Tamandua tetradactyla: one gene and its partners. The protein of the gene in region 4 purifies or fractionates together with the protein of the main gene of each other region. This does not show direct contact. Links are inferred from orthologs where the notes say so. Each region holds a gene or a part of one and is shown on either strand. Other genes may lie near its edges. The genes, in order: CCT7, RAF1, GCN1 and ILK.

What was found.
Region 1: the proteins of ILK (region 4) and CCT7 purify together in Homo sapiens (affinity purification with mass spectrometry; 4 studies listed by BioGRID and IntAct, with this or other methods). This does not show direct contact. The link is inferred for Tamandua tetradactyla from reciprocal best matches to the Homo sapiens genes ILK and CCT7.
Region 2: the proteins of ILK (region 4) and RAF1 purify together in Homo sapiens (affinity purification with mass spectrometry; 3 studies listed by BioGRID and IntAct, with this or other methods). This does not show direct contact. The link is inferred for Tamandua tetradactyla from reciprocal best matches to the Homo sapiens genes ILK and RAF1.
Region 3: the proteins of ILK (region 4) and GCN1 purify together in Homo sapiens (affinity purification with mass spectrometry; 3 studies listed by BioGRID and IntAct, with this or other methods). This does not show direct contact. The link is inferred for Tamandua tetradactyla from reciprocal best matches to the Homo sapiens genes ILK and GCN1.

What each region holds. Positions count from the first base shown.
Region 1 is NC_135343.1:46,877,183-46,884,714, forward strand, and holds the start of CCT7 (T-complex protein 1 subunit eta), read left to right. Parts: upstream 1-4,399; 5' UTR 4,400-5,269; coding exon 5,270-5,275; intron 5,276-7,532. Other genes in the region: PRADC1 (protease-associated domain-containing protein 1), read right to left, coding at 886-1,006, 1,213-1,380, 1,620-1,729, 2,232-2,332, 4,008-4,074. UniProt on the Homo sapiens protein: Component of the chaperonin-containing T-complex (TRiC), a molecular chaperone complex that assists the folding of actin, tubulin and other proteins upon ATP hydrolysis.
Region 2 is NC_135335.1:36,145,747-36,153,671, forward strand, and holds the start of RAF1 (RAF proto-oncogene serine/threonine-protein kinase), read left to right. Parts: upstream 1-4,737; 5' UTR 4,738-4,848; intron 4,849-7,925. UniProt on the Homo sapiens protein: Serine/threonine-protein kinase that acts as a regulatory link between the membrane-associated Ras GTPases and the MAPK/ERK cascade, and this critical regulatory link functions as a switch determining cell fate decisions including proliferation, differentiation, apoptosis, survival and oncogenic transformation.
Region 3 is NC_135331.1:20,497,482-20,505,105, reverse strand, and holds the start of GCN1 (stalled ribosome sensor GCN1), read left to right. Parts: upstream 1-4,392; 5' UTR 4,393-4,417; coding exon 4,418-4,435; intron 4,436-7,624. Other genes in the region: RPLP0 (large ribosomal subunit protein uL10), read left to right, coding at 710-885, 994-1,081, 1,211-1,357, 1,462-1,647, 2,558-2,698, 3,057-3,221. UniProt on the Homo sapiens protein: Ribosome collision sensor that plays a key role in the RNF14-RNF25 translation quality control pathway, a pathway that takes place when a ribosome has stalled during translation, and which promotes ubiquitination and degradation of translation factors on stalled ribosomes.
Region 4 is NC_135334.1:80,042,183-80,050,266, reverse strand, and holds the start of ILK (scaffold protein ILK), read right to left. Parts: upstream 3,389-8,084; 5' UTR 3,277-3,388; intron 2,903-3,276; 5' UTR 2,811-2,902; coding exon 2,722-2,810; intron 950-2,721; exon of another isoform or gene 899-949; intron 1-898. Other genes in the region: RRP8 (ribosomal RNA-processing protein 8), read left to right, coding at 3,566-3,664, 4,181-4,541, 4,789-5,242, 5,329-5,458, 5,634-5,740, 5,820-5,916, 6,143-6,262. UniProt on the Homo sapiens protein: Scaffold protein which mediates protein-protein interactions during a range of cellular events including focal adhesion assembly, cell adhesion and cell migration.

The DNA of each region.
Region 1 (7,532 bases), on a different chromosome or scaffold from region 4:
TGTGGAGAATGGCTTGACAGGCTGCCAAGGCACCCAGCAGTCCGTTGTAGCAGGTACAAAGGAACACAGGTTGGAACAGGTGATGGTGGGAGATGGGAGCTGCAGGTTCCCCAGTTTGGGTTCATCTCTGGTCTCATCATGCTGCTGTGCAAATGTCCCTAAAGTCCAAGAGCAAGGGCCCTGTGAACACAAGATAAGTCTTCTCCCCAGGAGTCTAAACTACTGTTGCGTAGGGCTTTCTCAACTCTTGAGTAGGAGGCTGAACTGGGATCAGAGACCAGCAGTTATTTATCTTATCTAGGCTTCAATTTCCTCTCTTTAAAACAAAAGTATGGGGCCAGACCAGTGGGCTTTGAGGGCCGCTCCCACCCCTGGTGCTCTTATTGTAGGACACACTTGCAACCCTGATGAGTAGCTTTATTGCTGAAAAGTCAGTGAGGGTTTATGGAGTCCCCAAACACTAGGTCCTTAGACCCCTCCAGCAGCTGCCGGGGCGGGGCCGGGTGGGGGGGGGGGAGAGGCTGTGAAGGGCAAAGTGAAAAGATCCTTACTGAGAGAGGCTGGAGCCAGGTGGAATGTGGCAGGTCACAGGTGACTCTCAGGCCACCTGCTTTTTACCCTTTTTCCATATACTACCCAGACGTCATGGGACCTGGTTCTTGCCTCTTCCTGTAGCATGAGACACTTGGGGCTCTAGGGAAGGAAGGCCAGTAGGGTGGCTTCCCTTCTTCAGCCTAGCCAAGGCCCAGGCCTTTTCTCCTCTATCTGCAGTCCTCCCCCCACCCCCATCCCCAAATGCTCTCCCCAATTCCCAAACAGCAAAATTCCTGGGTTGCCCCTTCCCAGTCCAGAGTTGCTTATGGTTGGAATGTGGGACCAATTCTTCTACCAGAAGGTCCAGGGTGGTTGCAGCAGCTCAAAGGTGGGGATGCTGGTGACATTGACTGGTATGGAAATGATGGCCCATGGCAGCCCATGCTGTTCCAAGGAGCGGCGGATCATGTAGCTGGGAGGGCATGAAGAAAGGTGGTGATGGTCACCCTCTTGGTACCCTGTTATGCCCCAGTGTCCCCATCACTCTAACAATTCCAGAGCTTGACTTTTTTCACCCTGGGGCACCCCAAGATGAGGCCTGAGGGAAGGGACTGGTGATTGCCCTGGGCCTCCACCCTCAGGCTGGTGCTGACAGAATCAGGGATAAGGAGCCCTCACCCATCTCGGCCGAGTAGGAAGAGGGCGGGGATGTCAGCTGTGCGCTGGGTGCTGTCCTGGATCATCTCCACATAGAAGCTGTCATTGTCAACCGCATCATCAGAGATGATCACTGCCCGCCCACCGTGCTCCTGCACCACCCGGGTCTTGGAGAGGAAGGAGCAGCCCCTGGAAGAAGTGAGACAGAAAGACAGGGTTCTAATTAGGCCATCACATGGGTGGATGGAAAAAGCACCATGGAGAATTTTTTTTTTTTAAATAATAGCTCATAAATAAATAGCCAAAAAAAATGTGGAAATTCTTAATACATTTTTAAGACCCTTAAAACAACAAATTGCCCAGAACCACCTGTTTCAAAGAACCACTAACAATGAAGATCCCAGAATCTCCCCTAGGCCCCTCCTTACCCCCTCTCCACCAGAGCGATCTGGTTTTGGATGAAGAAACCGTTGCTGAGTTCCCCACAGGCCTCTGGGGGTTCGGCAGGGACAAGGTGGATCTGTTCATACCTCGTGTGCTGAAAGACGTTGAGCCGGGTGAGAATGTAAAGAGATGCCTGTTTAGGACTAGACTGAAGCTTCTGAATTAATTGCTCCTCACAGCTTGAAGCAAACTTGGAATGGCTGCTCTGTGCCAAGCACTTAAGCATTTTTACTTCACTCCCACAAAGGCCTGTCCTCCCCCACCTTCCCTTGCTATGAGACAGGTGAGGAATGGAAGTGACTTGCCTTAAATCACATATACTAGAGGTAGAGTAATAGAAAGCCGGTGCCCTTGGTTTCTCACTATTTTGTCTGTAAAGAAGAGCTTGTCTTTCTGCAGTGCCCCTAGGAGTAGCTTGAAATGTTTCCTCCTTGCACTGTAACCCATGGAGGGCAGAGCTGAATTCTCTTCCTTTCCCCATCCCAGCCCTTGGCATGTAGCAGCACTCAGGTATTGGTTGAAGGGATGACAGGGACACTGTAACTCAGGGAAGGGGGGATTGAGGATCAGAAAGGAGGGGGCCTCCGTGAACTTACAAAGATCCCACCGAAGTCCTTGGCAGGTGTGGCTGTGAAGATATATCGAATGTCCCCAGGACTCAGCACTTGGAAGTACAAATAATCATGAATGCGTAAACCTGAAGGATAAAGGGTACAGTTGAGAGGCCTCCTGAGTATAAGCTGGTTCAGGTTCAGATCACAGATTCTGTGACTTCAACTGAGCTGGCAACAGTACGGTCCAGGGGCCCTGCCTCAGCAGATTGGACATCCTAGGTGGGTGGGATAGTTGGTCTTTGCACTGGAGACTCGCCATTCTCATATCATCCCCCTAGTCTAATTGCTATCATCTCTTGCCCTGACTGTTCAGCTTGTTAACTGGTCTACCTGTCTCCATTTTTGCTCCTTAAGGCCCATTCTTAAAACAACAGCCAGAGTTAACTTTTAAAACAAATAAAATCATGCCATCACTCACAGGGCTTCAACCTTCAACCACTTCCCTTTGCACTTAATCTTAATTCTAACCATGGTCTGTAATAAGACTCTGCGCAGTCTAACCCCTGGCCTCACCATGTTCAAGCTACACTGGCCTCTTTTATTTTCTTGACCATCCAAACTCTTCACTTCTCTGGATCTTCCTGCAAGCTGCTCCCTCTATCCAGAAGGCTTTCTATCTATACCCCACCCCACCTCCACCTCTTTACCTGGCCCACTCCTAACTCATCTTTTGAATCACAGCTTAGAAAATGTCACTTTCTCAGAGAAAGGCTCTGCCTTATGGCCATTCAAAATGAGATCTGCTTGTACTTTTTCTCCATTGGTGCTTTCAACCTAATTTGTAAGTACATAGTACACTGTCATGATTTTTTGTTTAATATTTGTCTCCTCCACTAGGGCAAGGATAAGACTAGATCCACTCAATGCTGTATCTTCAGTACCTGGGATAGTGGGTGCTCAATAAAGGTTGTTGAATGAACAAATGACAACATTTTCAGCTCCAATATCCCGAGGAAGAGAACTGCTCAAAAACCAGATTTCCCGCGAATGTGGGAACTTCAGCACACAAAGTTTAATGTGTTACCTGGTCTTAAGTCTCTGGTTTCCTTAAACTAGCGAGGTTGAGGATAGTTCCATTAGTCAACAGACTACTAAACCACTAAGGAGTGACAGGCTTGGGACTGGTTGTGGCTTTAGCTGTCCTTATCTAGTGCCCAAATCACAGCCTCCTGGTAGAGTTCATTGGCTTAGTTCTGGGCTACAGCCTTTTATCCTGGGAATGTGGACCCCCTTGGACACACTCCCAGGAAGACTTCCTGCCTTAGGGCTAAATACCCCCCTACCCAATATACAGTCTAGCCTGGCCTCTGCTTAGTCTGCGTAAATTAAGTGTGGGTCTTCGTTTGTTGTGAATATGGGTGTCTACATGTATGTGCTCATGTGGATGCATAGGCTGTATGTACAATTGTTAGGAACGTCTGCTCCTGTATATGGATGTGAGTGTTCACATATGTCTAGAGTGTAGTATCTCCAGCTGTTACTTGTGTCTCCTGGTCACATCCCTCAGTCATCTGGGTCAGCGCGAATATAGGGGCGACAGCTGCTTCGAAGCCAGTAACTGAGGACTCAGGGCCCTACCTCGCGCTGCGCCCAACGCGACTCCCTGGAGACCAGCGCCCGCCCACTCTATTTACCCGGCCCTAGGTCTGCCCCCCACTCACGGGATCCCCAAGGTGACCTGTGGCCCCCGGTCAGAGACGCATGCAAGCTGGACGGCCAGTCCCGCTCCGCGGCGCAACCCCGCCCGTTGCCGCTCACCGTGGGCCGCGACGCACGCAGGGAGCCAGAGCACGAGACAACACCAGCCCGCAGTACCCGGGACCATCTCCAGGGCCGGGCTCGGCCCTGCGCTTCCTCCCGGCACCCCACCGCGAGTCCTTCTCCAGACTTCAGTCTGACAGCTACTCCCGCCTCCCGCCCACGGGCCCGCTCTCTCCGCCTATTGGCGGACGGAAACGAGGTCCACGACTGATTGGCTCTGAATTCTGCTTGTGTAGTCACACTTTCTGCCTCTGCGCCTTTACCCACTTCCTATTGGTCAAGAGAAGGGAGCCCGAGGGCTGATTGGTTTAAACTCTTAACAGCAACTGCCGGCCCTCACCTCGGCCCCGCCCCGCACGTCGTCGTCTGGATTCGCCTTGCCAGGACTTCGCCGACTTGGGGGCTGGACTGAAGGACCCGGGTGGGGTGGGGGAGGTGGCTTCCCTGCGGAACTTGCCTCGGCAGCTGAAAACCTGGCCGTCAGCTCTTGCAGTTTTGGCCGGATCCTCCTCGCATTACAACGATTTGCCGATGTGCTGCCCTCCTCCCAGTCCCCTCGGGAGGCACTTGTCGAGCGACCCTGGCCACCGCCCATCCTCTGGCCACTTCCACCATTTTTGCGCGCTGCTGTTGGGGGTTGCTGGGGACGTGGGCGGCCCAGATCCAATCCAGTGCAAAGCCCGAAAACGCACTGGGGTCGGGTTCCCACGCCTCTCCTCAACCATCGACTTAGCGGTAATTTTGGACACCACCTCTCTGAGACTTGGATCATACTCACCTGTAAAGTGAATATAATAATAGGATTGCGGCAGTAGGAATGGGAGAATTAAACGATTTAGCATAGGCCGGTCCCACAGCTAGCGTTCAATAATAACTTTGCGTTTATTGCACTCCTTGGTCTGACGTCCGGGGTGGGGGAGAGTGGGAACGGAATCAGGATTAGGTGACACGAGCAGAGCAAGGATTGTACGTGCCGGAAGAGAAAATTACGACCGGAACCTCACTACGCTCGGCTAACTAACGCTTCTTGCTGGAGGACCTTGAGCGCTCTCCGAGGCCCAGCCTCTGGTCCTTCTAGCCATGCCTTCTCTGTGGTAGGCGAATCATAGAGTGGCGGAAGTGGCTCGTCCCCTTCCTCTCCCGGGTCAACGGCTTGGCGGAGCTTCTGTGGATTTCTGTGGCGCGGAGAATTGTGGGATTGCTGGACGGCCCGCTCCTGGAGAAGAGAGAAGTGGCGGGCGACCGAATAAGCTTCCAAGATGATGGTGAGTGGCGTGTCGCGCATCCGTTGCCATCCACCGCCATCCGACCCGTGGCTGGCACCTGCTGGCCAGAACTCGCCTCTTAGGGCCCTCTCCTGCTTCCTGGCTGTGTCTTCTCCCCGACCCTTGGTTGTGGACTACCCCGGCCAGGCTTGGCCCGGGTACGGAGGCCGTTGACCCAGGGATATGTGGGGCTCGCGGGGAGGCGCCGGTTGGGCTCGCTGGGGTAGCCCACAGCGTACTCTGGAGCCCCGGTTTTAGGAGTCCCCTTTTCGGGTCCTGTGTGAATCAGCCGCGGGTCGAGCGTGCTTACGCGGTCGACTGCCGGACGTGGAAGTTCGGGCTGCCTTAAAAAATGTGAAATGTAAAAACATTGTGTGTTTCCGAGAATGGGCGCTGGCAGTATGAAACCTCCACTCATGGTTTCATTCATTCATTCACTCACTCATTAAATACATGCATATTTAGTGCCTATTTAATGCAACAAGTCCGGCTGTTCGCTCGGCGTGCAATTGCGCAGCCAGGAGAATGAGCAGGGCAGGTAGGGACAACGCACTCAGAGGTGGGGAGACCCAGACTTCGACCCTCGCCCTGTCTGCACCTCCTGATGTGACATTAGACTGGGCTTTTTTAGTTGGTCACCTAACTCGGGGTCTCCTCTTCATCTCAGAGCTGCAAATGCCTTCAGTAGGTCCCAAGCCTGTCATGTATCTGATGAGTTGCTTTTGAGCAGGACATCTGGAGAGGTTTTTGCTCTCAAAACGCTGATTAAGATATTATCCCCTTGCACGTGGCAATTTACTCATTCATTTTGGTCTGTCCATCCAATTCAGTCTCTGTTTTTTTCCTGCTTCCTTCAGCTTTCCCTCTTTTGGTAGATGTCAGTCTCCTATAAGGTGCTCAGTGCCTCCAGCTTGTGCCCAACACAGAAGAAAGCTGAGCTTTATCTGAACCATCTCCCCACATCGTACCTCCAGCACCTTTTTCTTTCATATCTTCAACATTACCTATGCATGAACTCATCTAGCAATTGAAAGTAAGGGCTTTGGAGTCACACTGAATGCCTAGGTGTGTAACTCAGCTCTGCCACTTAGTAGCCATGAGTCTTTGAACATGTTATTTAGGATTTGGTTCTCAATCAGATGGGATAGCAATAAGTAGGGTGCTGTTATAAGGGATTAAGTGTATCAGCAACATACAGAATAGACTGCTTAGAGCCATGCCTATATGTATGTTAGCTGTTATTCTGGGTAGTTGGTTGCTTACTTCCTTTCCTCCCTGTAAACCTTCCTGCTGTGGTATGGGTTGGCATTCCAAGCACTGGGGATTAGAACAAAAGTTCTTTGGTGATAAGATCCTTCGCCAGGGGGCTTCAGTCTACCATGCTCGAATTTTTACCTGAGCAGACCCTTATTCATTCATCTCTATCAGTTGTCCTGCTCTATTGACTGTTGAAACTTGTCTTTCTTTGGGGGTGCAAAACTTCTTTTTCACCAAGAGCCTACCCTTCTGTCATCAAATTGGTCCCTGGTGTTATAGAAGCCTTCTAGAATAGTACAAGGGATTCTCCAGACCTCAGTCGTGTGACTGTTGTACAGCTTGCTCATCAAGTAGTTGCTTGTGGTGGTGAGCACCATCTGTCTTTGCCTATAAGCACCTGATCTGATTTTATAGACCATTAAGCTTAATGATGCAAAAACCGTTTTTAAAGAGGATGAGGAGAAAGATCAAGCTAAAATTCCTAAGCCTTTCATGATAACCTTGGCGGATTGCTGGATTCTTCTGTTATTTCTTGAAGAGTAAAATGAGTGATATTGAAAAGTAACTTGGGGACAGAAGCTGGGCTTGTCATAGCTAGTAAAGGACTCTTCCTTCTTGACTGAATTTGGCTTACTCTAGCTCTGCCATCTTTAACTTTCCATAGGATCTCTCCTCTACTCAACTAGCCATTTCTGTAGGGCCTAAAAGCATATGGAATTTGGGGAGTATATGATCAAGTGCTTCCAAGTCCCTCCTCTCCTCCTATCTCTTCAAATGTTTTTTATTGTTAAATATAACATATATACAGAGAAAAAAAGAAAAAGCAATGATTTTCAAAGTACACTTCAACAAGTAGATACAGAACAGATTTCAGAATTTGTTAAGGGTTGCCATTCCTCCCCCCCATTTCTGCCATTTTTAAGTGGTATTAATTACAAGCATAATGTTGTGCTACCATCACCACCATCTATTGCTAAAAGTTTTCCATTATCTCTAACAG
Region 2 (7,925 bases), on a different chromosome or scaffold from region 4:
AGAATCACATGCTGTAACTTTAAAGACAGAAGAAGTAATTTGTATTTCCTTGGTTTGAAGATGCTTTTGAATACTCACCATATCCTTATAGATAAGTCTTTGCAGCTTTCAGATATGGATTAAGTGCATCTTCATATCGACAAAGGGTTCTGCCAAGGCAAAAATGTTTAAAAAGACAAGCAGGAACTCTTCTCTATTTAGTTGGCTGAACACCTCATATTTTTCTCAGTCTTTCACTAGCAAAACTTCATAACTCATCGGAAATGAGAAAGGAATCACGAAAAGAATCTGAACATTTAATAACATGCCCATTGTCTCATACAATGTCTTCATCGTATAAATGGTTAAAAAATGACATTGAAAGCTGTGTGCAAGGAATGTTTATTGCATCAATTTTTTTCACTTCAGTTCCTTGTTTCAAGAAGGCCGATGATGTTCAAGGTTTCTCTCTCAACTGGGAAGGTACCTCGTGAACATGGCAGCGTCCACTGGCTTTTTCATGGCTCCATAAAAAGGCTAAGGACTTTATTTTAATTTTAAATCTCATGAGTCTTTAGGGCAGAGATTGGGAAGTGATGGCCCAAGAGCTGAATCTTCTCCCTAGGCCCTCACAGTGTATTTTGTTCGTTTGTTTGTTTTAACATATAACTTTACGGTCACCCATGACTTCTCTGTTTCTCTCACCCCTCCTTCCTCTCTCTTCCCACCCCATCCACTTCTAAGCCATTGGAGAATCAACCATCATTGGCTCAACCTTCAAAATGTAGCCAAGCATCCAACCACTTCTCACCATCTCCACCACCTCTACTGGTCTGAGCCACCGTGACTACCTCTCGCCTGGACTTTCTGATACTTCCTGTTTTCCCCACTTCCACTCTTGATTTCTTAAGTCTGATCTCAGTACAGCAGCCACACACAGGTGTTTTAACTTAAAAAGCTGCGTCCCATGACTCTCATATTGCTCAGAGTAAAAGCCAAAGCTTTTCAAAACAAGGGAGTTCTTCCAAAAGTCTACAAGACCCTGTACCATCTTTCGTCCTGGCCTTCTGACCTCATCTTCTACCTCTCACTCTTCACTAGATCCACCCCAGCCACACTGGCCTCCTTGCTGCTCCTCGGACAAGCACTAACTATTCTCTCTGCCTGAAGTGCCCTTCCCCCAGACATCTCCATGGCTCACTCTGAGTCTTTGCTCAAATGTCACCTCTCAGTGAGGCCACCCTCTTTCATTTTGTAACCTGCCCCCTCCCAGTCCCCTTCACCCAGCTTTATTTTTTCCCAAAGCATTTATTCACAAATTACATATTTTACTTATTTATTATGATTTTTATTATTTTTTAATATCTCCTCTTTCTAGAATGTGTGTTCCTTCAGGGCAGGTACTGCTGTCTGTTTTGTTTAATGATGTGTCCAAGCACCTAGGATAGTACTCTGTACATAATTCAGTGCTCAATAAATATTTATAGAATGAATAAAAAAATAAAAGTCTGATTTTTGACTAAAAAAAAAAAAGACAAAACCCTAAGAGCCACCACCACTGGGTTGCAGCCCTCTCTGGTAACCATTGTGGTGGCTGAGTGGTAGCTGCCTGCTTTAGATGGGACCTACATTTCCAAAGGGCCATAGCTCCCCACCCCATGTCCACTTTACTCATTCATCTCATCTGCCTAGTACCTGCAGGCACTTGAGTTTGCAATCCCTGTTACCAGATGCTTTGGGATCTCTGAAGAGGAGAACAGAATACATGGAGCCTCCCAATTTTTCAGGCCATAGAAGCTTTTGCTGAAATGACCTTTATCAACCTGCAGGCAGCGGGAGAAAAGGTGAACATCAGCTGTTTGCTGAACTGACAAGGGTGAGGGGAGTTAACACAAAGGATGGGGAGGCCCTGGAGTCATTTTCCTCCCCATGATAGGGGTTGGGAGCTCCCTGACAGCTGGGGGAAAGTCTGATTCAACTCTATCTCTTCCACAGGCTTTCAAATCAGGGATGGTGGGAAGGGCTGGTCTGGCAGTCAGAATAAGCTCCCTGATTCTGCACTGGGTGACCTGGCTTGAGTCATTGAACATTTTGAGTCTCTAGTCCCTCATCTAAAAAACGAAGGTGTAGCCATCTTTCCAGATCAGCTGTGAGGTCTGAATAAGGCATAGTCTTCTTGAGCTTTCTAAGCTGCAAAATGCTTGGAAAATACCATCTGGAGGAAATTAAAGGAAGGCATGACCTGGGAATGAGCCAAGTGTGACCCTGTCACTCTGCCTCACCCGATGATGCTGATGCTGATGACAATGGTGGTGATGATAAGTGATAGCTTTAATTATAGTTAACTGTATTTAATGTTACTACTACAGGCCAGGCACTATTCTAAGTGCTTTACACCTTAAATTCACTAAATTCTTACAACTTTTAAAAACTATCACATTTTTGTTACAGATGAGGATACTGAGAAACTGAGAGGTTTAAGTGACTTCCCCGAGTCCCAGATCAGGAAGTGGCAGTGTTCGGATTTGAACTCAGGCAGGCTGGCTACATGTTACTGAAGTCTCAACCGTCTGGCGGTGTGCTAAATGCTCTCCACACAACACAATCTTATTTAATTCTATGAGGTAAGAGTTATTGTTATCACTCTTATTGGAAAAAAAATACCCCATTCAGGGTTCTCTCCACATTCCATGCCTCAGTTTTCCCCTGGCTTTTATTTTCATGCAGGATCACATGTTCCTGCCTATCCTGATTTGCTAGCTACGGAAAGCAATATACCAGAAACAGAACGGCTTTTAAAAAGGGGAATTTAATAAGTTGCTAGTTTACAGTTCTAAGGCTGAGATAATGTTCCAGTTAAAGTAAGCCTATAGAAATGTCCAATCAAAGGCATCCAGGGAAAGATACCTTGGTTCAAGAAGTCTGATGAAGTTCACGGTTTCTCTCTCAAGTGAGAAGGCACATGGTGAACACAATCAGAGTTTCTCTCTCATCTGGAAGGGCACATGGCGAACATGGTGTCATCTGCTAGCTTTTTCTCCTGGCTTCCTGCTTCATGAAGCTCCCCAGGAGGCATTTACTTCTTCACCTCCAAAGATAGCTGGTTGGTAAACTCTCTGCTTCTGGTGGGTATGTCATTCTCTGCTCTCTCAAAAATCTCTCTCATTCTCCAAAATGTTTCCTTTTTTATAGGACTCCAGAAACTAATCAAGACCCACCCAAATGTGTGGAGATACGCCTTAACCTAATCCAGTTTAACAACCACTCTTGATTAAATCACATTTCCAGGGAGATTATCTAATTACAGTTTCATACATACAAAATTGAATAGGGATTAGAAGACACAGCTGCCTTCACAAAATGGGATTAGGATTAAGACATGTCTCTTCTAGGGTACATACAACATTTCAAACCAGCACACTGCCCTTAACTCCTTACCTTCCTTCATTTTTCCTTGTAGTGCACATATTCCTACCTGAATTTACACATTTTTTCTTCCCATTACTAGGAGACAGGGATTTTGATTATTGTTGATTTCCTAATACCTAAACGCTATGTGTGGTATGTAACAGGCTGTCAATAAATAGTTAAAAGAATGAATGTAACATGTAGCTTTGTATGCATGTGCTTGCATAAAAGCCTTTTTTTTTTTGTTTTACTTCATATCTTGGAGGGTTTTTGTTTGCTTTTATCAGTATATAGATTTAGTGTATTGTTTTAAACAGTTGGGATATTCCACACTGTGGGTGTGGCATCATTTAACCAGTTTCCTATTTAATCTACATTTTTCTATTGTTTCTCTAATCCAAACAATATGGCAATAAACATCTCTGCACATACCATTTTGCGCGAGTGTGAACGTATTTCTCTAGAACGAGTGCCTATAAATGGAACTGCCGGGAGCATGGGCGCTTACATTTAAAATGTTAATAATAATCCCAAATTGCCCTCCCTATTCACTCCTGCCACTGCTGTATGAGGATACGTGACAGGTGTGCATATACCTAGGACCAAACTGGATATCAGTCCTTTAACTTTTTGCCAGTCTGATGGGAGTTGGTGGAGGTGGGGATGAACCTCATTTACAACTGAGGTAACTGCGGCTCAGAAAGGTTTAGGAATTTTCCCAGGCAACTGGTAAGTGGCGGAGCCATGATTCGGCATCGGATGTGAGACTGTTGAGAGGAGGCACCATAGCTGGATACTGTCCTCTCTGCACGTGTACATGTGGTCATCTCTGAGACTCAACATGCTGACAAGCACGCAATTCTCGGCCAGGCCGCTTTCTCTCCCCATCCAGGCCTTGGGGCTCTCCCCGGGAGCTACACTCGAAAGCTCCTCGCTCCCCTGGCAACCTGCTCGGTTCCAAAATGGCGGCTGCAGCAGTCGGGAGCTCGAGGCCACGCCCCTTCCCCAGGGGGCGGGCCTTGAGATCAGGCCCAGCGATCGATGCCGGAGCCAAGCTCTAAGTGGGGCCTTCAGGCGGCTGGAGCCGCAGCAGAGTCGGAGGCCCCGCAGGTCGGGAGGAAGAGTACCGAGCGGAAGGCTCGCTTGCCGGGGCTGTCCGAGAGTCTCTTCATCGCGGGCACTGTGGCCGCCATTTTAGATGGCGGGAGTGAAACGAGAGCGAGCGTAAAGCGGGACGTCTTCCCTTCTGCTCTCCTCCGGCCCTTGGCCGGGCTTTGGGGCGTGTGCCCTGAGGCGCGGAGCGTGAGTGGGACGATGCGGGGTCTGCCCGGGGCCCCGTCCCCCGGGCTGGGGACGCGCCGAATGTGACCGCCTCCCGCTCCCTCACCCACCGCGGGGAGGAGGAGCGGACGAGACGCCGCCGCTGGACGTCGGGACACCCGGGCGCCCCGTCTCCCTCAGGTAGGCGGCCGGGCCTGGCCCGGCCCTGGACGCCGGGGGAGCGAGGCCGGGTTTCCCTGGAGCCGGGCGGGGGCGGCGCTGACTGAGCGACCCGGCAGCTGCCGGGCTGAGGGCCCGGGCCAGGCCGCTGTCACCCCGGGTGGCGCTGGGCGGGTGGGGGGCCCGGTGTCATGGCCGGCGACCCGAGTTCCCACATCCCCACTCAGATTTCGTTGTGTGTCGGGGAAACGTTTCAGTGCCACCTACGTGCCCAGTGCACATTCCTCATGTTTTGGCCGTGGGAAAATCCACCCAGAGCTTCGCCGTATCGTTGTCATTAGGACAGACTTGTTTCTTTTATATCTGGCGGCGGAGTTGGGGACTATGCTTTCGCCTTCTCTCCGGGTTCATCACTAAGTAACACCCTCTTAGGGAAGACGAAAGGAATCCGGGAAGAGAAAAGGAAATGGGTCAGTGCCTCACCACAAAGACAGAAGGGCCTCGCCTTGGTTTCAGGACTCTGTGGGTTATTAATGAAAGGTTTGGGATGCTTAGACTGAGGATTGGTCCCGGGATGCTTTGGAAGGGAGAACCAGGGCTATCTTCTGTGCCAAGGAAGAGCCGCCAGGATGGTTCACTTCTGTAACTGCAGAGAATCTGCAGAGCTAGTCGATGCCCGGAGACCAAGAGGAGTTTGGACGTCGTGAGAGACGAGGCGGCTCTGTGTTCATTCATTGTTCTTTTTCCAGGACTCTGGGTGTGCCCTCTGGTATTCGTTCTCTGGTGGGAAGAATGATAGGATCTCGTTTGTCTCCTTGAGATGCGATCTGGTTCCAGGGGGTCACGCAGTCTAAGTAGAGAAGGAATTCCTTGCACATTCACATAGCATTTCTGCCTGCCTTGACTCTAATGACTGAGGGAGGAAGTCTCCTTTTCGTTGCGCTCCCAAGACGAGAGAAGAAAGCCTTGTGATGAGGTTTGGCTTTCCGAATGCTATGGAAACTTGGAACACCTAGTTCTGCCTGGGGGAGCTAAGGAAGCTTGTACACTTCAGGGGACTTTTGCCCGGAGTTTTGAAGGATTGATGAGTAAGTCCTCACCAGGTAGGAGGAGGGGAAAGGCATTTTCTAAGCTGAGATATAAAGGCATAGAAGCTGCCGGAGTTGGGATGAGTTTAGGGAGGAGCAAATAGTCTGCCGGGAGAAATGGTGAGAGTTGAGAATCCAAAAGAAAAGTTGCTAGATTGGGAAGGGTTTTTCTTTATTGGAGGTAGCGGTCAATTAATTGATTTAATTTGGATTCTTCTAAATTGGTGGTGTTGTTTCGTTGTTCTTACCGAAAACTCGTTTCTCTCCCCTCCCTTCATGATTTTGAAACTAACAGTAATTTTTGAAAAGATTTACTTTGTTTAACCCAGTTAAGAGCATTTTTGATAAATGGTTTAGATAAAATGTTTTGCATTTATGCAACGGTGAATGGACTGCGCTCATATTCCTAGGGAATTTTGCAAAACATTTTTCTCACGTTAATGCTTGCTCATTAACGTGACACACAAAAAAGTGAATTTTTAAATGTCGCACACACTGTTAATTCTCAGGTTTAAGTGGCTGTTTCACAACATAAACAATGTTTCCAGTCATACAGAAATTGGCAGATTATATATAACATCCAAAAAAGTGTAGAATGCAAATGACTATTTTTAGCTTAATAGATGTGTTTTACGTTGTAAAATGGGTCTTCGGGTTCCACTTCTCGTATCCTGGTTCCAATTCTCATATAAAATCTGAAGCTCTATGAACATAATTTTCCTAAAATAGTTGTGTTATTGTGATTAATTCTTATGCTAAAGTTGCTATTAACATATTAACAGACTTCAGCTGGTAGTTCCCACATCTTTCTTAAAGGATTGTGATTATATACCACTGAAGAACATTAAGTCTTTGGCTGGCTGTCACCCTTATCATGTCAAGGGCTAAGCTGTTTAAAATGCAACAGAAACATTTGACCCAGTTGAACAATGGATAGTTGGGAGTACAAACCTATTACTGTTTCTGTTCTGAAAATGTATCTATTCGGTGTGTGGCGTTTGTGATTATAAATCGTAGTAATCTTAAGCTCTTGTCCATAGTTGGAAAACTTTTCGTCTTCAAAGTAGAAGGCTGGAATGAAATATTTGAGGGTATTTTATGGGATTTAATTTAGCAGAAAGAAAACTTAAGTGAAAAGCTGATTAAGCCTGTCATTTATGACAAAAAGTATCTAGAAGATGAAATAGAGAATGGTTACACATCCGGTACCTTAGAATTGCTGTGAACCTTGTTGCTTTTAGTTTAAAACATGCCATTTGTGAAGTCCAATGTAGGTGGTTTGCTCTGAAGATTAAAAAAATGACTTCATACTTCTTGTATGTTAAATTTGACTTTTCTAGAAGCTCTAGATTACTTATGAAATAGGAAATAAAAGTAATAGCTTCATTTACTGTTTCAAGTGTCCAGTTAGTAGATGTATGAGTCTATATTTTAATTTCAGATAAAACATTGCTAGTGACCTGTAGCCTAAAAATAGGAAAATATTACACAAGGGAATACTTTTATTTGCATGTTAGAGACATAATAGGCCCTACACAATAATACTATTCTTGGGAGGAGCTTGTTTGCCAAGCAACATGCCTTAACGTTGACTTGCAGATGAGAATTTTAAATATTGCCTTTGAAAGGTGGTAGACTAATGTAACAGTGGAGTGGGGGAAGAGGGATGGTGTACTGAGCTTTGACTTGAAAAGCTTTTAGATCATGGAAGTAATTTCTTCAAAACAAATAACCGTAGTTGGAAAATTGCTTACCTTGACGAAATTAATTGGAAAGTCAAGGAACATTGGCTTCGTTCAGGATTTAAGTCATAATTTACTCTGTGTGAGTGTGTATGCATGCGTATGGGCGCCGTGTGCTCGTGCATGCCGTGAGTGTATGTGCCTATGGATAGGTAAGAATTCCTCGTTGCTCATCTGGGTTAAAAAAATGTAATACTAGCTATTTGTGTCACAGTTCAGTTGGTACCCCTTGTATATGGCTACGCTACTGTGCTGGTTTGAAAGGATA
Region 3 (7,624 bases), on a different chromosome or scaffold from region 4:
CCTTTGATCTGTGGTTTACTGCTGTTACAAGGAGGCAAGTTGTTGCATATTTAATCCTTCCAGACAGACTATTTGCTGAATGGTTTCTTTTGGATGGTTTTGTGGGTGTTCTTGGCTCAGAAAAGTTGACCATGCTGTACTTTGGGGGTTAGGCTGTATTTTACAACTTACTGTGCTCTATTCTTTCCCCCTACATTTGTTGTGAAAATTTTCAGAAATTCAGGGCACTTAAACCCACTATCTGGGTTCTACAGTTAACATTTTGCTCTGTTTAGGTAGTTTTTTGGATGCTGTACATTCATCTTTCTTGTTTAGGTCTTTTGGGGCAGTTTTTTATTCCTCTTGAAAGCTATTTTAGTGAAATCAGAAACATGCCTCATAATTGGGAAAAATTAAAACTAGATTTATTTAGGTCTTTATGGTTTTATAGTTCATGGAAGATACTCCTGTTCACTTGTCACTTTGGGTGAGCTTAGAAACCTAGCTATCACCATTCATACCTAGCGAGTCAGCAAGTTTCAACAATTCTGGCACTGGTCTAACTCAGGTGCTTCCTGGTGGGAGGAATTGCCCCAATTTCCAAGTAATTTCAGAAGTTCAGAAGAAAGGGAGTGAAATGGAAAGCCAGGGATTGTGGGGTTTGGTTTCTCCTAACATTTATTTCCTCTTTTCTTGCTGAACTTCTGTTGTTTCGGGCTTATTTTTATAGCAACTTCTGGATGATTATCCAAAATGCTTCATAGTGGGAGCAGACAATGTGGGCTCCAAGCAGATGCAGCAGATCCGCATGTCCCTCCGGGGGAAGGCTGTGGTGCTGATGGGCAAGAACACCATGATGCGCAAGGCCATCCGAGGGCATCTGGAAAATAACCCGGCCCTGGAGAAGTCAGTCAATTTCCTGGCCAGCTCTGTCCTCCTTTCCCTGTGCCCTTCTCCATTTTCCTGGAGAATGGTGCTGAAAGGTGATAATCTCCTGTAAACTTGTCTTTGCAGACTGTTACCTCATATCCGGGGGAATGTGGGCTTTGTGTTCACCAAGGAGGACCTCACTGAGATCAGGGACATGCTGATGGCCAACAAGGTAAGGGGAGGACCGGGTTAGTTAAAGAGACTTTATTGTTAACTTTGGCTCCTTGAAAGCAAAATTGACCATTCTCAGGTTGGTTCTGTGGCAGGAAGACTGTTCTCACTCTCTCTTGTTTTTGTTCAGGTACCAGCTGCTGCCCGTGCTGGTGCCATTGCCCCTTGCGAGGTCACTGTACCTGCCCAGAACACTGGTCTGGGGCCCGAGAAAACCTCCTTCTTCCAGGCTTTAGGCATCACCACTAAGATCTCTAGGGGCACCATCGAAATTCTGGTGAGTGGACCTGGCTTGCCTTTGCTGGCAGGTAGGGGGTATTCTTTTGGTGGCTCGGCCTGCTGGATGCCCAGGTATTAACTGTCAGCTGTCTTTTTCTTCAGAGTGATGTGCAGCTGATCAAGACTGGAGACAAGGTGGGAGCCAGTGAAGCCACACTATTGAACATGCTGAACATCTCTCCCTTCTCCTTTGGGCTGATCATCCAGCAGGTGTTTGACAATGGCAGCATCTACAACCCTGAAGTACTTGACATCACAGAGGAAACTCTGCACTCCCGCTTCCTGGAGGTACATACTGTCTTGTCCCTTCCATTAATGATGAAGAGCATGATTGATATCAGACTGGATCTTGGCTATGCTACTTAAATGAGGTGTATAACCAAGGACAGTTTAATTTGTCTGCCTCTGTTTCTTCATGTAAAACTGCAATAATATATGCTTGTTGAAGGATTTAATTAATGAAGGTGAAGCCTTAAGACAGTGCTGGGCACATAGTAAGGGCTATCCTAGGGGCTGCAAAATCTCATTTTGTGTAGTTGTGAGAAATTAAGAAAAATGGACAATTCAGTGCTTTCTTACATAAGTGCCAGGTATCCTTGGAAGGACTGATTTTCCTTTTTTCTGAGATTGTCCCTAACTTTTGCCATTAAGTTTGCCTTTAATAAATATGATGATACTTATATAGTTTTTTCTTTATTGGTCAAATAAAAACTTGCAATTAAGTAATACCTTAACCCGTTTTAAAAAGAAATCTCCATGAGTATATAAAGTTCATGTCTGAAATTTGTTTAGTGATTCTCTTTCATGGAACTCAAAAGGTGTTGTTGATAGTTTATATTTTTCATAAAATTGTGGTGGCTTTTGAGTCCCATCAGTAGAGAACATAGATTGGGAATAAGGGCAAAAAGCATTTGTAACTCAGTGGGTCTGAATTGCTTTGCCAGGAGTGATAGGTATGAGATTGACAGGTCTCTTGTGTTTGAGATACTTAACAAGTATCCTTTAGTTATTTTTATTTATTTATTTATTTTTAACTTGGGCAGGCAGCGGGAATGGAACCTGGGTCCCTGGCATGGCAGGCAAGAATTCTGCTGCTGAACCACCATCACACTGCCCTGTCCTTTAGTTTTATCTGGATTTCCCTGCCTTTATTCCTAGGATGTTCTTGCCTAAAATGTAATTTCTCCCTTGTCTGCAGGGTGTCCGCAATGTTGCCAGTGTATGTCTGCATATTGGTTACCCAACTGTTGCATCAGTACCCCATTCCATCATCAATGGGTACAAGCGAGTTCTGGCTTTGTCTGTGGAGACTGATTATACCTTCCCACTTGCTGAAAAGGTAAAAAAAGATAACACCAGAATCACAGGGGCAACCTGCTGCTTAGTGCGTTTATCCTTTTTATAATTGTTTACATAGTAGGTATATTAAGAGTGTAAGTGAGGTTGGTGTTGAGAGGTGGGGGAGGAGGTATGCTAACTTTGGGAATGGCCAGAAACTTGGAAGATTTAATGGGTGAGAGCTGGGCCTAGCTGGCCTTCTTACAAGGCTATATCCAGCCTTTGCCATGTCTTGTTAGGGAAGACCACACACAGGCTTTGGAAGTATTGGTCTTTATACCTAGGGTGGAGGGTTGTGGATAATGAGGGGTTGTCAATGACTGTTTTGGATGATCACTAACTTCTCCCCTTGTTTTCAGGTCAAGGCTTTCTTGGCTGATCCATCTGCATTTGTGGCTGCTGCCCCTGTGGCTGCCACCACCACTGCTGCTCCTGCTGCTGCTGCTGCAGCCCCAGCCAAGCTTGAAGCAAAGGAAGAGTCGGAGGAGTCGGACGAGGATATGGGATTTGGTCTCTTTGACTAGTCTCCAAAAAGCAGCCAACTCAACTAGCTTTATTTGTGAATGAGGAAATAAAGGCTTACTTCTCTTAAAAGTCTCTGGATGCTTTATTGTACATTTTGATGTTTACTAACTTTTCTAAACCAGCTTAAACTGTCCTTTTTAAATTATTATTTTTTTATTACATAGGCAGGTACCGGGAATCGAACCCAGTTCTGGCGTGGCAGGTGAGAACTCTGCCACTGAGCCACCAGTGCCTGCCCAAATTCGTTTTGTTTTTTTGACTGTAATTCTTGTTCCTATGGGCCATTTGACCACTAGCCTGTTCTAAGATACACAGTAGGTCCTTAAGTATGCAGTGGAGGAATGCCAGGTATCATCCTGGAGAGCAGTGCCTTTCACAATTTGGGGATCCATTGATCAGCAGGTAGTGACTAGTATTAAAAGACAAAATACCAGGTTTGGGGTGATTTGCTGTGAAACTCATTTTTATATACAGACTTGTATACTGGGCTACGATATTATGTTATTGTAACTAGGTCTTAAAAGTTTGAAAGCCCCTGCTAATAAGGGCTGACACGAAGCTATGAAGACCTTATGCTCTAAATTGTATTCTATAAACGTAGGTAGATCTCTCTAGGAATAAAATTCAGACAACTTCCATGGGTGGTCGGCCTTCCCAGTCATTGCCTTGGCTTAAGCTCCCATTGTGGAGCATCGAGGATTTCCCAAAGGCAGCCTCCTCTCCCAGCTAGTGTGAATCCCGTCAAACCAACCCCTACTTTCTACCTTCCACAAATACTGGATTGCAAATTTGAGGATCTGTGTCGCTGTTCTGTACCTGGCTGCGTTCCAGGCGTCCAAGCAGCTCTCGACACGATACTTAATGTGATTTCAGGAACGATCCACGCAGGCTGGGCTTGCGGGCTATGTTTGCGGGTTGGAAGCCGCAGGGTAGGTCTCACCGTATTGCAGATCTTCACAGACCCTCTCCCTACGAGACCTGGCGGAGGACACCTTGATTTGGAGCCGAGGGGCGGGCCCTAGGGAAGCCGCCGGGTCTGTAGTCCGGGCTCTCACAGGACCCGGGGACGATCGCCGTCCCGCCCAGGGACGTCAGGTCAGGTACCCGCCCCGGCTCCAGGACTCGCCCTGCCGCGTGGGCTCGCGCGGTGACCCGGAAGCGCTCCGGAAATGATTCCGGGGTCAGCGCCGGCAGGATGGCGGCGGACACGCAGGTGAGGGGGGCGGCCGCTGGGCCAACAAGGCTACGTACTGAGGGCGGGCGGTGGCCTCCAGGTCGGGTCGCTCCCGCTGCTTGGCCTCGGGGCGAGGGGCCGCGGGACGTGGTGGTTGCGAGGGGAGCGGCCCCTGGGTTGCTTGCTGCTGGTCCTTTAGGGCTCCTGGTCCGGCCCGGCTCCTGACTCGGGCGGCGCCAGTCGATCGGAGCTGGAGGAGACAGGACCTCCGGCCTCGGCTTCGGCCGCTGGAGTCTGGTGGAGCCCTCCCTGTACACTGGAGTTGCAGAAGTTCGTCTGTTGAATTCTTCGCTCCATTTCCCTTTAGCCCGCCGACATTGAGCGCTGGGCCAATGCCAGATCCTCCTTTAACTTTGTAGTTAGCGTAAATGTTTTTCGAGTACCTACTGTGTGCAAGTACTTATAGCACTGTCTGTATGCAGACAGATCTGGGTTTGAGTTCACTGCCGCCGCTCTCAGTCGCTGGGCAAGTGACTTAACCCCCGCAAACCTTACACGGTAGTCCTGAGGATCAGTGAGATAAAGTAGGGGTCGATATATAGTGACTGTTACCATTACATCCAGCGTTAAATGAAATAACTGTATCTACCCAGGAATTCCTCTTGATTGGTATCTGTTTATGTTCCCCTTGAGTGGTACCTTGTAGGTCAGGGAAGAACTTGGGGAAAATCGTTTTCCTCCACTCCAGACTTGATTGTTATTTTAAGGTTGAAAAGACAATGTTTAAGGTTGTCTTTGTGAGTGTTTAAGGTTGAAAAGACAATGTGGTGGGGAAAACAACAACAATAAAAAAAAAGCACAAACGAATATCTAAAGGACAGTTTGGCATACTTGGGTCTCCTGGATGATGAGTGAACAGAGCGTGACTATCTATTTGAACATTCAAAAGGTCGTTATTGAGGTTCCCCTGTTCGAGGGAGGGAATTTGTTTCAGGTTGTGTCATATTGAATTAGAAAGAAAAGCTTACTCTTTTGAATAGTTCCAGAGGTCAGGTATATAATATATGGTGAATGTTTAACATCGATGCTCATGTGCAAAAATGTCTTTCCTCTAGAGCTGTGTTGCCAAATATTCGCCACGTGGGAACTTAAATTAATAGCCATCTGGCTATTTAAATTAGTTAAAGTTAAATAAAATGAGAAATTCACTTACTTTGTTATGCTAGTCACATTTCAAGGGCAGAGTAGACATACGTGGTTGGTGGCTACTTAATCATAGAAAGTTCTATTGGACAACACTGCTCCAGAGAGAAACCTGTGAGCGTTAAAGCTGTTTGCATATGAGCTCATTGAAGGGTTTTGGGTACTCTCAGTTTCATACTGACAATGTTTCAAATTGTAACATTCATTTTCTGGTAAAGAAAAAGAGCCTTCAACCTGTAAAGCCCACTACCCGTTAAACTGTAGCCAGAAATTTAATATCATCACGTGGAAAGACAGCCATGTGGGAATTCTACAGAGATGGTGTATTGTGTCTATGCATCTGTTTTTGCTCCTCAGACCCACTAAAACTAGTAAAGCTTTTTTTTTAATGCCATGAGGATTGAGAGAATGAGAGTGCAGACAACAGCAGCAAACTTAGGAAAGCTAGAAAGCCATGATAAATGGTAAAGAACTTAGCAGACCGAAGAAAAATGAATACTAAGGCAACGCTTGGCAAAGCTGCAAACCAATCTGATGTACACTGCAGAATTTCTGAAAGACTGGTGATATCCATTAACCTCTGGAAGTAAGGGTGAATGAGGAGAAGTTAAATGAAGGAGAATTGGTTGAAAGTCTGTTCTAGATGCAATTGAGACCCAGATCTCCAACTCCACTCTGGCAAAAGACTAGAGATTTTCTCTCTGGAGAGTGTAAAACAGAGGATCACTACATTGTGAGGGCTAGGTTAGAAGAGGGTCTAGTATCCAAATAAGAGGGAGTAGAACATATTGGAGAGGAGGAAATCATTGACAGAATAAAATAGTTCAAGAAAAATTCCCCAAACTGCAGGATGTGTTTCCAGACCCAAAGTGCTCAACACAGTGGATTGAAATAGACACATTAAAGCACATTATGAGATTTTAGAACCCTGGGCAAAAGAGGAAATCCTCAGGTCTCATACAAAGGATCAGGAGTCAGAATGGCAACCTCTCTCACCAGTTCTGGTTGAATATTTTGGTATTTGCTTCCCTCTCTAAATGACACAATGGAGAACTGCCTTTGGAATTCTGAAGGTAAATAATTTCACCCTAGACATGCAAGGACTCCACAGATTTACCTCTCATTCATTCCTTTCTCAGAATGTCCCTGGAGAATGTGCTTTACCCACACACAGGAAAGAGTGAAGCTTTCAGGAAAATCAACTGTGCCCCAGTTGTAGAGGATCACCAGTCTAGGATGGGGCAGGTCAGAAAACTCCCGGAGAGCCTTCCTCAGCTAGAGGGACTGATTTACCTAAATGTCTTAAGATTTAGACAAATAGCGAAGAGTTGGGAGTTGGATTACTGATAAGAACAGATAAAGCAAGGAATGGGAAAGGGCAGTTACTAAGTCCAGGGAAATTGAAAGCTGTGTAGGATAAGAAGCATAATCATAGTTTATGAAATGAAAATATGGATACTATTTACATATAATGTAGATACTGATTACTGAACTACCCCATATTAGGAAATTGGGGAATTACATTGAGGAAATAAGTAGGGTGAGTTGGGGCTTGGGGAAAGGAAAGAAAAGTATGGGAAGTAGGCACTAATCTAAAAAAATCAAGCCTAGCGGTACTAGGAAGTCATTTAGAGAGGGAAGCAAATACCAAAAGATTCAACCAGAACTGGTGAGAGAGGTTGCCCCTGGGGAATTAGGGCAAGGGACTGGTTCTTATAGCAAACCTCAGAATTTTTTACTCTTTTTGAATCTTTTTTTTTTTTTTTAATTGTGAAATATATATACAAATCAGTAGATTTCAAAGTACGTTTTAACGAGTAGTTTTAGAACAGATTTCAAAGTTTGGTATGGGTGACAGATCCACAATTTCAGGTAATTCCTTCTAGCTGCTCCAAGTCACTGAAGATTAAAAAGAAACATCAATATGATTCAGTAATTATATTCACTTATTAAATCCTAACTTTGCTTTTATAACTACTCTTCTGATCCTTCTCCCAGTCTTTAGGGATATTTGGATTATGCCCA
Region 4 (8,084 bases):
AGCACTTGTCACATAGTTTATAAAAATCTGTTACTGGGCTGTTTTGTCTATTAGACTGTAAGCTTCTTGGGATTGGATGCCAGCAGGTATTCATCACATGTTAAGAGGAGAGTGGTATCTTGAGAAGGAAGGTTAAAATTCATGGGGAGCAATTTTACCAATTGACTCTGGGACTGAAACTAAGATGTAAAAATGGAATAGAATTAAAATGGCATTTTGGAGAGGTTCATAACAAAAAGAAGAAATGCTTTTGATAAGTCATTACTGATAGGGCAGATAAACTATCACATGAAACAGAGATTCCCCTACTAATAGCAATCCTGGGCACAGAAAATGAAGAATGGCTGCTTTGGAAAAAAAACTGTACTTGACTCTTCTTTTTCCTTAAGGGCACAGGTGTTATAAAGAGAAAGTATTTTTAAAAAATACCAAAAAAAGCACAATTGGGTGGGAGCTGGGCCTGCCTGACAGACAGCCTGGGGCCATAAAAGGAAATTCCCTGCAGATCCAAGGGGTGGAGCAGGGGGCGGACCGTGGGCTGGGCTGGCAGCCTGAACATGCTTTAGTGCTGTGGTCACTTCCCGTGTGGGGGCTCTAGGCCGGGTGAAAGCCAGCCTGTTCAGGCCACCCCAGATGGGCTCCTTAAACTCAGACACGCCCACAACTGATGGAGGTGGGAGGGTGTGACTTCTAATTTACTGAGCTTCCTCATCTGTCCATACAGAGATAGCTGAAAGTTTTCGATGGAGGTTGGTATCCCCCAGAAGCAAATATCACCCCCTGCTTATCAGCTGGTCTGCCTCCCAGCTCTTTAATTTGTGCCCTGGTTTACAGGCCTCCAGTAATCTATGGCTCTAGAGCCTGAGGGCAAAAGTATGGGCACAGAGGTTCTGCTTACTGTCAAGGCTGCCTGTCACTTCAGGGCCTGGACTTCCCATCCCACGAAGGCCTGCAGGGAATTAACCCCACTTCATATCCAGTACATATCCAGCTTGGACCCTCAAACCAAACACCAAAGCCTTCACTAATGCCACCCCTTCACCTTTTGACAGTGAAGACTATTCCTGGATGCTAGGCCCACCGTACAGCTTTGCCTATGCCTTTATAACCTCAACAACAAATAGCAATTTTGTCTTCATCACAGCACCCTTTGAGGATGTTATGAAAAATGGAACAATTGTACTTTGCAAATTATGAGGAAGAAATTGTGTAGAACCTAAAGAGGACCAGTGAAGCCTGGACTAAGACAGGTGACCCATACCTCTTAAAAAACAACTCTCCAGACCTTAAAAAAAAAAGTGACCCTCTCACCCCCTTGAATCACCATCATTACCACTTTTCTTGCCTTTCAGTCTCAGCCAACTTTAAACAATTTGTCTACATTCACTTTCTCTATTTCCTCAACTCCCATTCACTTTTCAACCTGCCACAAGTCTGCCACCTTGAGGGCAGAGATAATGTCTGATGCTGGGCCTCCAACAACCAGCACAGAATATGTTTGGTACATTTCCTTAAATGAATAAACCCAATGTAGTCTGGTTTCTTGACCTATTCTTTCCTGAAATGGCCCTCACCAAGATCATCAAATATATCCTAATATATAGGACATATATATTAGCTACTTTAGAGTGTTCACGTTCCTGACCTCTCAGCAACCTATACTACTGTTGACCACTCTCATTTCATTGAATCATTCTCTTCTCTACACTTTACTAACACATTTCCACTTCTCATTCAACCTCTGAATGCTCCTTTTCAGTCTCCTCACAGGTTTCACTTCCCTGACCTCGTCTTCTGCTTTTCTGAGGCTCTCTTTAATAGCCATGTGTTTTGGTAATCATCTACATACTAATATCCCCCAAATGTGTGTCTTCAAGTCAGATCTCGGTCCTGTACACAAAATCTGTGTAAGCAGCACATAGCACTTCCACCTGGATGTATTGTCACCTTAACTTTAACATGTCCAGCATGGAACCCATCATCTTCCTTCAGTCTTCTCCATCTCAGTTAAAAGGAACCACCAGCTGTCCAAGCCAGAACCCTGGTCACCGTCTTTGACCTTCCCCATATTTGATATCAAGTCCCACCAATTCTTCCCAAAGATTTCTAGAATATGATCATTTCTCTCTTTTTCAGCTGCTCACATTCTAGTCCAAGCTGTCATCACTTCTGGGACTAAGCAATAATCTCCTGATATCCACTCTTGTCTCCTCCCACCTGCTCCAAGCATCCAAGGTGATACTTAACAAATGGACAATTTCACATCACTATACAGCTTTAAACCCTTACTCTTCAAATAAAAACCTTACTATAGCCAAAATAACCTTTGCATGGTTTTAACTGACCTCTGCAGACTTCTCTAGCCTTATCTCCTGTCGTTCTCCACTTGTACCCAGTGCTTCAGCCCACAGAAAGTCTTCTAACCTCTAGCCACATGGAACTGGAGACAATTTCCTGGTACTTTCCGCTATGTTTCTTGCCCCTTAGCCGGTTACAGTTCACTGAGACTAGAAAGCTGTCTGCAGCCTCTGCTGAGAAACTCTATTCATCTGTCAAGATTCAGCTCAAACACTGCCTCCTCTGTGGGGACCCTCCGCACTCCCTCAGGCTATGCTTAGCACTTATTACAATGGATGGCAAAGTCGGCCGCTGACCACCCCATGCTGGAGAGAGAGGCAGGTCTCTGGCCTTCCTCTCACCCACCAAGTCGCCTCAGCTCACCCCTGATTGAGGTCGTTCTCGGTGTTGTCCAGCCACAGACGCACGGCAACCGCGTTACCCTCCCGGCACTGAGTGAAAATGTCGTCCATAGCGGCGTCTCGGTGTTGTGTCCCCTAGACTGGGGAGGCCTGGGGGCTGTGGAGGGATCCAGGGGAGGGAGACGAGCCCCAAGCTTTGGCCCCTACAGGAAAGAAGTGTTCGTGTTGGGGGCCGAGGTCTGGGCGCCGAATCCCTGGGTTAGGGGAAGAAGTTGGGGCGGCGGGATAATTCCTGACTGTCCCCTCTGGGAGTGAGGGAAAGGCGGGTTCGGGTGGGATAAGGAGTGATAAAGAGGTAGCGTCTCCAAAAGGGATGTCCTGCAGGCACGGAGACCCCCACCCGCGAATAGGACTGAGGGGGAGGGGAAGGTCCAGCAGGCGTATGCCTGGGGGTGGTTATCCGGAGTCCTCCCGGGGTGTGGCACCCGTTTCCTCCTCGAAACTCAAGTGGAGTAAGGGGTAACGGATTGGCAGGGCCCCAATCTTGGGGAGGGGGCGCGGATACCCCCGCACTCACCGGGACTCGGGCTGCAAGCTCCTTCTCCGGGGAACTCCCGTCCGGCCGCGCCCGCCGCCCGGCCCCGCCCCCGCCCCTTGCGGGCCAGCGGGGCGTCACTCCTCTCCCTTCCCGCCTCCTCCTTTGCCCTTCTAGCTCACAAGTGTCGAAACTCTATGGTTTCCGGCACCGCGCCGGCCGCTCTAGCCGCCCCTGCTTTCACTCTTTGGTTTCCGGTTCGGTTCCGGCTTGTGCAGGCTCTGCACGTGGAAAGGCTTGCGGGTCCCGCGACCCGGCCTTCCCGGCCCGCATGTTCGAGGAGCCCGAGTGGGCCGAGGAGGCCCCAGTAGCTACGAGGCTTGGGCTCGTAGTTTCACGCCCTCGGCCTGTGGCAGCATCGCAAACCAAGGTAGGGGAGTTGTCACGCAGAGCATTGGTTTCAGGCCGCGAAACCGAGTCTGGTGGAATCCCCGCGTAGGGCTACGCCGTGTGTGTGTGTTTTGGAGAGGAGGGGATGTGTGTGTGTGTGTGTGTGTGTGTGTGTGTGTTTTGGAGAGGAGGGGATGTGTGTGTGTGTGTGTGTGTGTCTTTTGGAGAGGAGGGGATGGACCTGCGGCGACATTGGGGCAGCGTCTGGTATGAACATTCAGGAACTTGCAAGAGCAAATAATGTTTGAGTTGAGAGATACCTGTTGATGATTAGAAGTTAGTGACCCAAAGAGGGGTCCTTGGATGGGGAAAACTTGTGCAAAGGCCCTGGGGCGGGAAAGCATAGTCTGTTATGGTCAGGGTATGGCAGGCTTCACAAACTAGTTAAATCAACTAGGAAGCATCTAGTCACTTCTGCCAGCATCTGAGTAGGAGGACCGCTCTCTCTCCCTCCTTGTTCTCCAGGCCCCTGCGCTCATGGCTGGTTTTCTTCCAGGCCCCCAGGCGCCGCCAGCTCTTGGCCACGTTACGGGCCCTGGAGGCCGCAGCCCTTCCCCAGCAACCTCGCAGCCCGCCTGGCAGTGACTCAGAGGAGGCGGAGGTGGACAGGAAGAAGAAACGTCTGCCAAAGGCCTCATCTGCTCGTGCCTCTGCTGAAGTAGGGGAGAAAAGGAAGAAGAAACATCAGAAACAGGTCCCACCTGGCTGTGACTCTGAGGAAAAGGAAGTGGGAAGGAAGTGCTGCAGACGGGCTCTTCTTGGCAGTGACTCTGCTGAGGAGAAAAAAAGAAAGAGGAAATGTCAGAAACAGGCCCCTTCAAACCCTGCCCAGCACCGGGACAATGTTGATCCAACAGGTACTATTGAGTATATGTAGTATGTGTGGTGTGGGGGAAGGAAGGGCACACAGACAAGGAGAGCTCAGCTGATCTTGCATATGACAAAAGCTACCTGCCATCTTTAGGATTGGGATTAGGCAGTAAGAGGTACTTTTATCCAGGCCACAGTCCCTATTTCAAGGACAGGGGTATGACCAAGATGACTTGCCAAGCCTCTGAATTCGGGAGATCCTCCCCAAAATACTTCCTGTGTCCTTCCCTGCAGGTCCCAAAGCCCAGAAGGATAGTGCTGCAAATGACCTATACAAGACAAGGCCTGGATCCCCTTCCCCTGAACACCCCCATACTTTGAGCCGCAAACAGTGGCGGAACCGGCAGAAGAACAAACGGAGACATAAGAACAAGTTTCGGCCACCTCAATCGCCAGCCCAGGCTCCAGCTCTGGCCCCCACAGAGGAGACAAAGATGCCTCCTTCCCCTAAACCAGTCAGCCATGAGGATCGGGCAGGAGCTCTGCGAGCCCGCATGGCACAGCGGCTAGATGGTGCCCGATTTCGCTACCTCAATGAACAGCTATATTTGGGACCCAGCAGTGCTGCACAGCGCCTCTTCAAGGAAGATCCTGAGGCCTTTCTTCTCTACCACCGTGGCTTCCAGAGCCAAGTCAAAAAGTGGCCACTGCAGCCTGTGGACCGTATCGCCAGGGATCTTCGCCAGCGGTGAATGGGGTTTGGGACCTGTGAGAATATGGGTCAGTCATGGGCTCAGACCAAGCCAGTGAGTGACCCCTCACTCCCACTCCCAGGCCTGCATCCCTGGTGGTGGCTGACTTTGGCTGCGGAGACTGCCGCCTGGCTTCGAGTATCCGGAACCCTGTGCATTGCTTTGACTTGGCCTCTCTGGACCCCAGGGTCACTGTGTGTGACATGGCCCAGGTAAACCCCTCTAGGCCTTACCTCTATGTGCTAATTCCTATAATCACCCCCCATCTCCATCCCCTAGGTGCCAAGCGTAGCATTCAGTGCAGATTTTCTCCTCCTCCCCACACTATGTGCCTACTTCCTCTTGTGTCCAACCATGTGTTTCATACAATACTCCCACTCTCTGTAGGTCCCTTTAGAGGATGAGTCTGTGGATGTGGCTGTGTTCTGCCTTTCGCTGATGGGAACCAACATCAGGGACTTCCTGGAGGAGGCAAATCGTGTGCTGAAGCCAGAGTAAGCCCCTAGAACACTAATGCATGTATATGTGTGCATGTGTATGTCTACACATTTACACAGAACTTTCTGTCCCCAGGGGTCTCCTGAAAGTGGCTGAGGTCAGCAGCCGCTTTGAGGATGTTCAGGCCTTTCTGGGGGCTGTGGCCAAGCTGGGCTTCAAGGTCATCTCCAAGGTGAGAGCTCCAGGAAGTCCGTCTCCATTTGTGTTTGATGTGTGGCCCTTTTTAGGGGAATGATATGTAGAAACTAGGCCATAGGCACAGGAACAGACATTTGTTCCCTAAAGCCACAACCCATGAGAAATCCTGGGAAGCATTCTGAACAGGAACAGGAAACGAAGGGAGATGTTTTGAGGAGCTGGGGGAAGATACGGAGCTAACTAGTCTTTTCTGCTCCTAGGACCTGACCAACAGCCACTTCTTCCTGTTTGACTTCCAAAAGACTGGCTCCCCTCGGTTGGGGCCCAAGGCTCAACTGTCAGGCCTGAAGCTTCAACCATGTCTCTACAAGCGCAGGTGACCTCTGGACCCTCTCCAAAGGGGAGGCATGGCTTGAACTCCCAGCTCAGAACCCTAAAGACTTTAACCAGGTTGTGAGCCAGGACCTGATACCAACCTGCCCTCATTCAAAGAACAAAGTGATAAAAGCCCCTGGCCCAGCCTCTGATCTAATGCAGCCTTCCTAGATTACGAGTATAAAGTCACTAAAGAATAGGGGTTTATATGTAAAACACAGGGACACCTGGGTATCCTGGATCCCCTTGGGTTTTGTGGAGTCTAGATGGTTTGGGATTCAAGGCATCTTTGAGTTTAGCTCCTTATTCCATCTCTCAGGAGCCACATGAACTTTCTGTCTTAGCATCTCCATTCTCCTCTCTTCCTGTCCTCTCTCTGCAGACCAGCTTCCTGTGCTCACTCATAGCCTTTACTCCTTCAACTTTTGTGTACCCAGGCCTTCAACTCTGCAGACAGTCTGGTATTGCTTTTGGCTCTGGGGCAACTGGTAGCCCACCAGCCTCCTGGCATGACATAACAGTCTGGGCTTCTGGGAAGATGCAGGCTGTTCCCATAGCTATGTGGTGGGCCAAGACTGCCTGGATATTCCCTGTACCATGTACTTCTGCTGCTTCATCTCTACCCTCTTCTCCATCTTGGGAGCCTTATGGACCAAACTACTTCCAGCACCTGTTTTCCTCTGGTGCCCTGGTGTGTATGGTCAAAACATAGATTTTGGAGTCAGGTGGACCTGGATTTGAAACCCAGCCTGCCACTTAGAACTGGGCATCGTTTAATCTCTGAATATCAGAGTCCTCTTGGAAAGTGGTAAGGATTCCTGTCTTCAGGAGTGATTATGTGTGTTAACTAAGGAAATCTGTAACCAGGGCTGGGAACATAAGAGGGCTCAATAAATTGTATTCGTGGCTATGATGTGTTATAAGCCTCATTGTTCTCTGGAGACCTTTGCAAGGCAGGGATGGAGGTTGAAAAATAAAGGATGGATTTGTTCACCAAGGAAGGTCCTGGGAGAGCTCAAGATATGCTCTTCAACAGTCACATTTCATAGGATATTCAGAGATCATTGATGGATTCTCAGCTATGCTTGGAGGGAGTTTGTAAGCAACTGGGGCTCTGTTCATAAATAACAAATAGTTGATGCCATGTTGGGCTGGAGATTAGGGCTATTTATTAGCAGAACAGAGTGTCCGTTGTCTCTGTCTTGCATCAAGCCCAGGACAGCACATCCAGGGAAAGCTGTGGGCAAGGAAGGCTAGCGCTAGGGGTCAAATAAGCTGGGATGATCCATCCCAGGCCTCCCCCAGAAGGCATCTGCCTGAATCCCAGGGTAAAGATGTAGTCTCTTCTATCTGCAGTAACAAGAACAGGGTAGGTAGCCATTGGAAGGACATAGCTTCCAGGGCTCTGAGACAGTTGGGTACCTCCAGTAAGGGGCACAGGTTTGAGGTAGGCTAGAGGGCAAAGGACATGGTTGGAGCCATTGAGGAGCCACTGCACAATGCCTTTGCATGTGCTATTTTAGAACTCTGCTGACATTCCCGTCTGACTGGTAAAGATTTACTCATCCTTCAAAACAGCCTGCTTGTGTCCTAGTTTCCCGCTCCCAAGCAGAATTAATTTCCTCATGTGAGCTCTCAAAGCTCAAAAAAAAAACTGTCATGTTACTTCAGCATTTAAATACTCAGTCGTGATTGCTTTATGCATGAGGCTGTAAGTCTCTCAAGCCATATTTATCTTTGTATTCCCAGAGCTTGTCATTTGAGATGCACCCAATGTACTTGTTCACTTAAGGAGAGACAAGGATGACAAAGTCCGGTTAACTTGTG